Oryctolagus cuniculus: one gene and its partner. The protein of the gene in region 2 binds, or shares a complex with, the protein of the main gene of each other region. Links are inferred from orthologs where the notes say so. Each region holds a gene or a part of one and is shown on either strand. Other genes may lie near its edges.

The links.
Region 1: CPSF2 (region 2) and CPSF4 share a complex: the UniProt entries of both Homo sapiens proteins name them as parts of the cleavage and polyadenylation specificity factor (CPSF) complex. The link is inferred for Oryctolagus cuniculus from reciprocal best matches to the Homo sapiens genes CPSF2 and CPSF4.

What each region holds. Positions count from the first base shown.
Region 1 is NC_091450.1:41,649,877-41,654,293, forward strand, and holds the start of CPSF4 (cleavage and polyadenylation specificity factor subunit 4), read left to right. Parts: upstream 1-1,572; 5' UTR 1,573-1,731; coding exon 1,732-1,834; intron 1,835-4,417. UniProt on the Homo sapiens protein: Component of the cleavage and polyadenylation specificity factor (CPSF) complex that play a key role in pre-mRNA 3'-end formation, recognizing the AAUAAA signal sequence and interacting with poly(A) polymerase and other factors to bring about cleavage and poly(A) addition.
Region 2 is NC_091451.1:37,371,142-37,375,498, reverse strand, and holds the start of CPSF2 (cleavage and polyadenylation specificity factor subunit 2), read right to left. Parts: upstream 3,019-4,357; 5' UTR 2,879-3,018; intron 1,255-2,878; exon of another isoform or gene 1,233-1,254; intron 1-1,232. UniProt on the Homo sapiens protein: Component of the cleavage and polyadenylation specificity factor (CPSF) complex that play a key role in pre-mRNA 3'-end formation, recognizing the AAUAAA signal sequence and interacting with poly(A) polymerase and other factors to bring about cleavage and poly(A) addition.

The DNA of each region.
Region 1 (4,417 bases), on a different chromosome or scaffold from region 2:
TGCAGACGGCCTCAGCGGCCCTTGTCTGCATCCCACAGGCCTCCACTCCTGACAAGCATTAGTTAAAACACACAGGGTTACCAGGAGGGTGGGAGGCAGGGAATATCATTATATTCTCAGAACTGTATCCAAGACCTATACTGTTAAAAAGTGACTTGAGGCTGGCGCCGCAGCTCACTAGGCTAATCCTCCGCCGCGGCGCCGGCACACTGGGTTCTAGTCCCAGTCTGGGCACCGGATTCTGTCCTGGTGGCCCCTCTTCCAGGCCAGCTCTCTGCTGTGGCTCAGGAGTGCAGTGGAGGATGGCCCAAGTCCTTGGGCCCTGCACCTGGCTCCTGGCTTCGGATCAGTGCGGTGCGCCGGCCGTAGCGGCCATTTGGGGGGTGAACCAACGGAAAAGGAAGACCTTTCTCTCTGTCTCTCTCTGTCTAACTCTGCCTGTCAAAAAAAAAAAAAAAGTAATTTGAAAAACAAAAATAAATCGTGAACAATGAAAAAAATAGGGGCCGGCGCTGTGGCATAGCGGGTAAAGCTGCCACCTGCAGTGCCAGCATCCCATATGGGCGCCAGTTCGAGTCCTGGCTGCTCCATTTCTGATCCAGCTCCCTGCTATGGCCTGGGAAAACAGTAGAAGTCCTTGGGCCCCTGCACCTGAGTGGGAGACCTGGAAGAAGCTCTTATCTCCTGGCTTCTGATCAGCACAGCTCCGGCTGTTGCGGCCAATTGGGGAGTGAACCAGCGGATGGAAGCCTCTCTCTCTCTCTCTCTGTCTCTGTAACTCTGACTTTCAAATAACTAAATAAATCTTAAAAAAGAAAAAAATAAATAAATCACATAGAATCAGCAAAACAATACCTAGATATAGAAAGAGGCATTTTACACTATGCTCTGTGTCCCTCCATGGTTTTCCAGCGTGAGCGAGCTGCATGGACCCTCAGCCCCCCTCGAAATGACACGGTTTCGGGCCCTACCCCAGCTGCTCTGTCAATCAACTAAATGCAATCAATGCTCGATCTCACATCGAGAAAACGAATAAAAAGGGCAATTTTGTTCCCACCCAAGTCCACTAACGCACCCAGGTTAAAAACCCCCGGGGTTGAGAGCCCCGCGGCCGCCGTCCTCCCTCGGACCCCGCATTCCCAGACGCTCGCCCGGCCCCCTGGTCACCCCGGCCCCCTCTCACCCCGGTTTCCTCCGACGCCCCCGGGCCTCCCTAGGCTCGGGTCCCCGGGCCGCTGTGAGGACCCATGGGAACTCCCAAGCGTAGGGGTCGCGGGCCCCAGGCCCCAGGGACCCGGCCTCACGCGGCCCAGTCCCGCGTGCCGAACCGGCCCGGTTCCCCTGTGGGTCACCCTCCGCCAGAAGCACGCGCCCCGCGGAGCCTCGCCCATGCGCAGTCCGCGTCGCAAGCTCCCACGCGCGGGGGTTTCGGCTTACCGGCCAGGCGAGGGGAAGGGAGGCGCTGCGTTCGGCGGGCGGCTAGCCGGGCCTGGCAGAGCGGTCGTCCTCCGCTCTCGATTGGCCGGGTCTGGACGTGCAAAAGCACCGGCGCGGGCTCGGGCGCTCCCGGCATCCCTCGCGCGGTGGTGGCGGCGGCGGTGGCGGCAGTGGCGGCGGCGAGGCGGAGGCGGAGGAGGCGGACTGCGTGCGGCTGGGGCCGGCGGCGGGTGGAGGAGTGAGGGCAGCGAAAGACCTGAGAGGAAGTCGGGCCGGGGGGCCGCCGCCGCCGCCATGCAGGAGATCATCGCTAGCGTGGACCACATTAAGTTCGACTTGGAGATCGCGGTGGAGCAGCAGCTCGGGGCGCAGCCGCTGCCCTTCCCCGGCATGGACAGTGAGCGCGGGGCCGGGGCGGGCGGGCGAGAGCGACTCCGCTCCGGGACACCTGTCTCTCGGTCCCGGAACCCCTGCTTGCCGGGGGCCGGGGTCCCCATTTTCTTCCCTCGGACTCCGGAGCCCCCTCCCTCCCCCCACCGTGCGCACTCTCTCGGGTCTTTGGACCCCTGGGGCCGCTCTGAGGTCCGCTTCGGGCGGTGCTTGTGTAGTTCTGGAATGAGGGCGAGTCACGCTGGGTCGGCAACCCCAGCCCCGGGCAAGTCCTGGGCTGTGCGCCCCGCCGCCTCCCGCCCCACTCGCTGAGCGGCCGCACTGGGTCCGAAGGGGAGCCCTGCCGAGGAAGGGGCCTCCTCCCCTCTGTAGGAGACCCCCAGCCAACCCCCGTCTGCTCCTAGGACTCGCTCTCCTGGGAGCGCATCTCCAGTCTGGCCTTGTCCCCCACTTTTTCTCTGGTCCCCGGGAAAACATCGCACCCGGGCACCTGAGCCCCCATTAACCGTCTTCCTTCCCCTGGCTTCTCCACCTCCCAGCGCAGACTTTAAAAGACATAGCAGTTTTCTTATCTCCTCTCGTTTGTGCACCTGCTTCGGATCTGCAACTGTAAAGCGCACGTCACGGACGGGGAACGGAGGCCCCGGGTGGAGAAGGGACTTGGAGCCCACGTACAGCCAGGCTGTGTCCCGCAGCTGCCAGCAGCAGCACTGCCCTCAGGCAGCCCAGCCTTCTCACACCCACGTGATCCGCCTCTCTGCTAGCGAGGGCACGCCCAAGAGACCACCATGAGAGTACCCCTGGGGGGCCCCCCACCCCACCCCTCCGACCACCGAGGAGAGCCCCCCGGGCTCCCCGACCCCAACGACCACCACCGATGAGAGTCCCCCTGGGCTCCCCGACCCCTCCGACCACCACCCCTCCAACCACCGAGGAGAGTCCTCCGGGTGCTCCCCCCGACCCCTCTGTCTGCGACCTCTCGGTGCGCACACACTCACGTGCAGCTTCTCATTTCTCACTCTTGGTCTCTTCATGTCTCAGGGGCACTGGTTTGAGGCCGTGGGACCATCCTACTCCCGCTTGGCAACACAGATCCAGGAGCCTGTGAGGCCGGGGGCGGGGCCCCACGGGGCTGCCCCGGGACACAGGCAGCCCGAGCACTCCCCACGTGTCCGTGCTCACGTGCCCTGCGTACCTTCCCTGAGCTGCTTCCCCATCCCAGTGCTGGGAAGAACCCCTTCTGCCCTTGAGACAGGCTCCTTATCCCATCTGCCTGAGCCTCAGTCAGACGTAGCAACAGAGGGAGAAAGAGAGGTCTTCCATCTGCTGGTTTGCTCCCCAAGTGCCCACAGCAGCCCGGGTCTGGACCAGGTGGCTGAAGCCAGGAGCCTGGAACTCCATCTGGGTCTCCCACGTGGGTAGCAGAGACCCAAGTCCTTGAGTCATCATCTATTGCTTCCCAGGATGATTGACAGCAAGCTGAATCAGAAGTGGAGGGGCGGGACTTGACCCAGTACTCTGACGATGGGATGTGGGCATCCCAAGTGGCCACTTAACCTGCTCTGCCACGCCTGCTCCTAAATGGTATATATATTTTAAGATTTTATTATTTATTTATTTGAGAGGGAGCGACAGAGAAAAAGGTCTTCCATCCTCTGTTCACTCCCCAAATGGCCACAATAGCTGGAGCTGAGCCAATTAGAAGCTGGAGCCAGGAGCTTCTTCCAGGTCTCCCACGCAGGTGCAGGGGCCCAAGCACTTGGGCCATCTTCTACTGCTTTCCCAGGCCATAGCAGGGAGCTGGATGGGAAAAGGAGCAGCCGGGACTCGAACTGGCGCCCATATGGGATGCCGGCACTGCAGGCGGAGGCTTAGCCCACTACCACAGCAATGGCCCCAGTGGTATGTTTTTAAATGCAAGGTTTTCAGATTTTTGAGATGCGAACAGAATGACACCCCAAGTTCTACAACCTTAGCTCTGTCCAGCACAGTCTGCCTGTTTTGAGAAGCCAAGGAAGCCACTCCAGAGAGACCGCCAGTGGGTTTCAGCGGTTCTGAAATGGCTGCTGGTAGAGAAGACTTCGTGAGCCCAGGGAACGTTTAATCTGCTAGCCATGGCCAGTGGATTCCTGGACTCGCAGACCCTGGCCCCAAGCCCCCCGACTTCCCTGCGCTGCACCTGTGGGAATGCAGGCTGGGCCCCTCAGCAGCAATGTGGGTGCCGCGTACCCAGGGCCTTCCTGCCTGTGCTCTGCCCCCTGACCAGCGTCCCGAGGCCCCCAGCCCCTCCTCCCAGGCCCCGTTTGCTTGTGCTGCCTGTCCCATCTTCCCCCCTGCCTGTGAAGTAGCTCTCCTGGAAGCGCTGAGCGGGGGGATTAGCTCATTTCTGTGAGCCTGTGTGCCAACTTTCCTTCCCCCACCCACTCTTAACTCCTTGGAAGGAACTTGTGGACAGGAAGCTCTCGGCAAGCCTGGGTTTCACTGTGTGCATCTCACCTTTCACTGTGTGCATCTCACCTGCCGGGTAGGACGGAAACAGGCAGCTTTGTCCTTGCTCGGCTGGGTCTCCTTACTCCATTTCCTCCCCCTG
Region 2 (4,357 bases):
AAGTAACCAAGGCCGTAAACTCCATGTTTAATTTTTCCCTTTACTTCTCCTTGTAAGGCCTGTGACCCACTGCCGCTTGTTTTCCCGCATCATCCCCCATCCATCCCAACACCACGATCCCGACACAGGGCCTCCCCGCTGCACATCTGGGCTTCTTGCTGTCTTCGCCTCCAGTCTTTCCTCCCTACCCACATGCTGCTGCCAGATCAGTCTTCAGAACCAGCCCTATACACCCATTTCTCCTTGCTCAGAAAACTCCGCCGACTTCCTACTGCTTCAAAACAAATACCTAAACACCTCAGCGGGCAATGGAGGCTGCTGGGCAGCCGCCCTGACACCACGGCTCCCATCACCTCTCACGCTCCAGCTGAAATGCAGCTTCCTCTGATCCCCCACCGTTGAGTCTGGACCAGAAGACTCCATCCACAGAAATACAATGCACGTCACAAGTGTAACTAAACATTTTTTCACAGCCACATTGAGAAGTTAAACATGAAGTCTCAGTCTTTTATTTAGCCCATTTAACCAAAATGTTACCATTTTAACATGTATCCATTATTAAAAATTAGTGCTATTTTGCTCTTCTGTTTTTTATATCAAGTCTTCAAAATCTAGTGTGTATTTTACATTTATGGCACATCTCCATTGGAACCATCTTGGGGTTGCCATTGTGGCACAGCGGGTAAAGCCACCACCTGTGACACTGGCCTCCTATATGGACTCCGGTTTGATTTACAGCTGCTCCACTTCCAATCTAGCTCCCTGCTAACAACCCAAGAGCTTGGGCCCCTGCACCCATGTAGACTCTCAGAAACCCCTGGCTCTAGCCCAGTTCAACCCTGGCTGGTACGGTCATCCAGGAAGTGAACCAGGAAGTGAACCAGCAGGTGGAAGACAGCTCTGTAACTCTTTCAAACAAATCAACAAGAACTAACTACATCTCAAGCCCAACAGCTACAGGCAGCTACTGTAGTAGCGCAGGCCTACCCTCCACAATGGGTGCTTGAGCAGTAACCACTGGGCTCCTGCCTCTTCTCGGGGGCAGGGTGGGCCCACTCTAGTTTCCTGGGCATGTTTTGCTGTGTTTTGCTGGCATCACCAACCAGTCAGTCTCCCACACTGAAACCCCGAGTCCCTCCTTGCGGAAGCTGGCGGTCACCAGCTGAATCCCACTTGACCCTAGTCCGACATCCTTTAATGTCCTACCTCAACAGAGGCCCTCATTGCCTTACCTGGAAGACTGTAACTTACTCGCCCGTTTTCCTGTTCCAGGCTGAACCTCCATAGCTGCCAGAGACCATCCTAAAAAGCAAATAACCTCACTTCCACTCCTGGTGCGAGGCACTCACTGGCTTCCTGCTAACTGCTGAAAAAAATCTAAACTCCTTGGTTGGAAATCAAGGCCCTGCACAAGCTGATCTCAACCTGCCTCTTGCTTTGCCAGCCACCTGGCACAGCACACACACACTCCCTAAATACGCCAAATATTCTCAAGTCTGCATCCCTGAGCTAAATCCAGAAATGACCTTCTGAGCTTAGCAAATTTCTTTTACTCTTTTGTGGCCAAGTTCAAACAATGAGTAATTCATGGAGCTTGGTTATTGTTACTTTGAGACAAAGGGACTATTGTTGAATGCATAAAGGCATCACCTTTGTATTTCCAATGCCAGGCACAGTGCTCAAAGCAAATACAAATGTGTCCTGAGAGAGGGATGAACCCTCACACTTGGAAGCTCCCCCAGGGCGGGGACCTGACAGCGACTCTGGGTCTCTATCACTGTTATGTGGGCTCTCAGTAGGGACCAGGCAGGTTGGTGGCGGCTATGGATGTGTGCAGGATCCAAGAGAAAACGGAGATGGGGCCGAAGCTGCAGCACAGACGGTAAAGTCTCCTCCTGCAGTGGGGGCAGCCCATCAGGGCACCAGTTTGTGTCCTGGCTGCTCCACTTCCAATCCAGCTCTCTGCTATGGCCTGGGAAAGCAGTGGAAGATGCCCAAGTCCTTGGGCCTCTGCACCCACGTGGGAGACCCGGAAGAAGCTCCTGGCCTCAGATCGGTCCAGCTCCGGTTGTTAAAGCCATTTGGTGGTGAACCAGAGGATGGAAGACCTCTGTCTTTCCCTCTCTCTCAAATAATAAATCTTAAAAAAAAAAAAAAAAAAAAAAGAGAGAGAGAGAGAGAGAAGAAAAGAAAGAAACGAGACAGTAAGCCATGGAGTGCAACGCCTCTTCCTGGTCAGTGCAGGGCGAGCGGCGGCTTCATCCCAGGGGACAGGACTCGAACACAAGTGAGGGCTGGCTCAGGGTCGCCTGGTCACAGGAGCCCAGACGTGCGGGGGCCACAGCCCCTCGGACGCCTCGTTTTCTGAGGGCCTTGTCAACAGAGAGAAAGAGGTCCCGGGAAAGGCGGCAGCGAAGGTGCAGGCGCCCGGGGCGAGCCGCGCGCCACCGCCGTCTGCGAGCACACCTGCTCTGCGCCCTAGGCTCGGCGGCCTCGTGGCCCTTCGGCCCAACGCCGCGGGAAGGCCCTGAGCCGAGGGGCTGCGAACGGCGCGCGCCCGAGCCCCGAGGCCCAGGAGCCAAAGCTGGCGTCAGGCGAACTCCTCCGGCGCCGAGAGGCCCCAAGGACCGAGGGAAGCCGAGCGGGACGGCGGCGGACCCGACAGGCCGGCGCGGAAGACCCGGGAGCGCTACAGCCGTAGGCAAGGCGCTGCTGCTCCTCCGTCCTTGTGCCGGGAACCACCGGACAGCCGCATCGGAAGCCGCGGGAGCTCGTCCTCGGAGGAGCCGGGTCCTAGCTGCAGCCCTGTTGCCCCGGCGCGCTTAGGACGCCTCCTCCCCCATCCAAAGACTCATGCCTTTCTCCCGCCCTCACTTGCCTCGTCAGGCCTCCCCCAACGGCGTCCACTAGGGCCCTGCCCAACCCCTAGTCGGATCCAGGCTCAAGAGGGACAAAAGCAGACGTTCGCTCAGCTGCAACCCCGACGCCCGGCCAGCAAGAGCCCCGCAGTGGCGGCCGCCATTTTGAAACCGGAGGCGCGGAGCCGAGGGGGAAGATCCAGGGTGATACCACCCGGGCCGGGGAGGGGGGGAGTCGAAGCCGTGGGAAGGCGGTGGCGCCGACGCCGACAGATCACGTCACCTCGGGCCGAAGTTCCGTCAGAAATTATGGTTGGTGTCCGAAAGCTTTAGAAAAGTAACAAAGAATCACGCCCAGAAAGGAAGGCGAGGTATGTGTCGCCGGCCGCCACCCCTCTCCTCCGTCCGCGCGCGGCGAATGGCACGTCCCGAGGTCGCAGCTTCCGCCGGCGCCGCTGGCTGTGCGGGTCGCTGCCCTTGGCGGTGGGTCGTGCTGGGCGCCGGCGCCGCAGGTGGGTGCGGGTGCGGGTGCGGGGGTCCCGGGGGGCGCGGTTCCGCCGAGCCGGGTGGAGCGGGTGCGGCGGGTTCTAGGAAAGCCTCGGCGGTGGTCCGTGCTCGCGGTCGGGTGGCCTGGGCCTTCCCGGCGCCTCCGAGCCAAGGTGACGGAAAAGGAGAGGGGATAGGGCTTTTGAGGGGACGACAGGCTTCGTCCGCGGCTGTCGTGACTGGGAAATGTCTTTAGCGGGGGCCCGGTGGCCGCCCCGCTGCTGGACGCGGGGACACCGGCGGGACCGCATGCGGGGGCCCGCGGAAGTGCGTGACGGCCGCTTGGCCTGTGTGTCCCGGGCGGCCGAGGCTCAGCGCTCCGTCTGCTCGCCTGCCTCGCTCCCTTCTGCTTCTTAAAGCCTTAGGTGTGTCACGTTCGTGCTCGGTTGCTAAGGTGCGTGTCCTTCCGTGCCCCAGGAGCTCAGTTCCTCCATGCACTCAGCACTTTGCATTGGTAAATTGAAACTTTCTGGGCAAAACACAGGGTGTATATATATATATATATATATATATTTGTATGTATATGTATATTTGTATATATATGTGTGCATCAAGAGTTTGAAGTGATTTAAAAAACAAGAGACAACGATGCCAGGTGGTTTTTTTTTTTTTTTTTTTTTTTTTTAAGATTTTATGTATTTATTTGAGAGGTAGAGTTAAGACAGTGCAAGGGAGAGACAGAAAGAGGTCTTCCATCTGCTGGTTCACCCCCCAAATGGCCACTACAGCCGGAGCTGTGCTGATTAGGAGCCAGGTGCTTCTCCTGGTCTCCCACACGGGTGCAGAGGCCCAAGCACTTGGGCCATCCTCCACTGCCCTCCCGGGCCACAGCAGAGAGCTGGGCTGGAAGAGGGGCAGCCAGGACGGGAACCGGCGCCCATATGGGATGCTGGCGCCGCAGGCGGAGGATTAACCTAGTGTGCCACAGCGCTGGGACCCCAAGATGGTTTTCT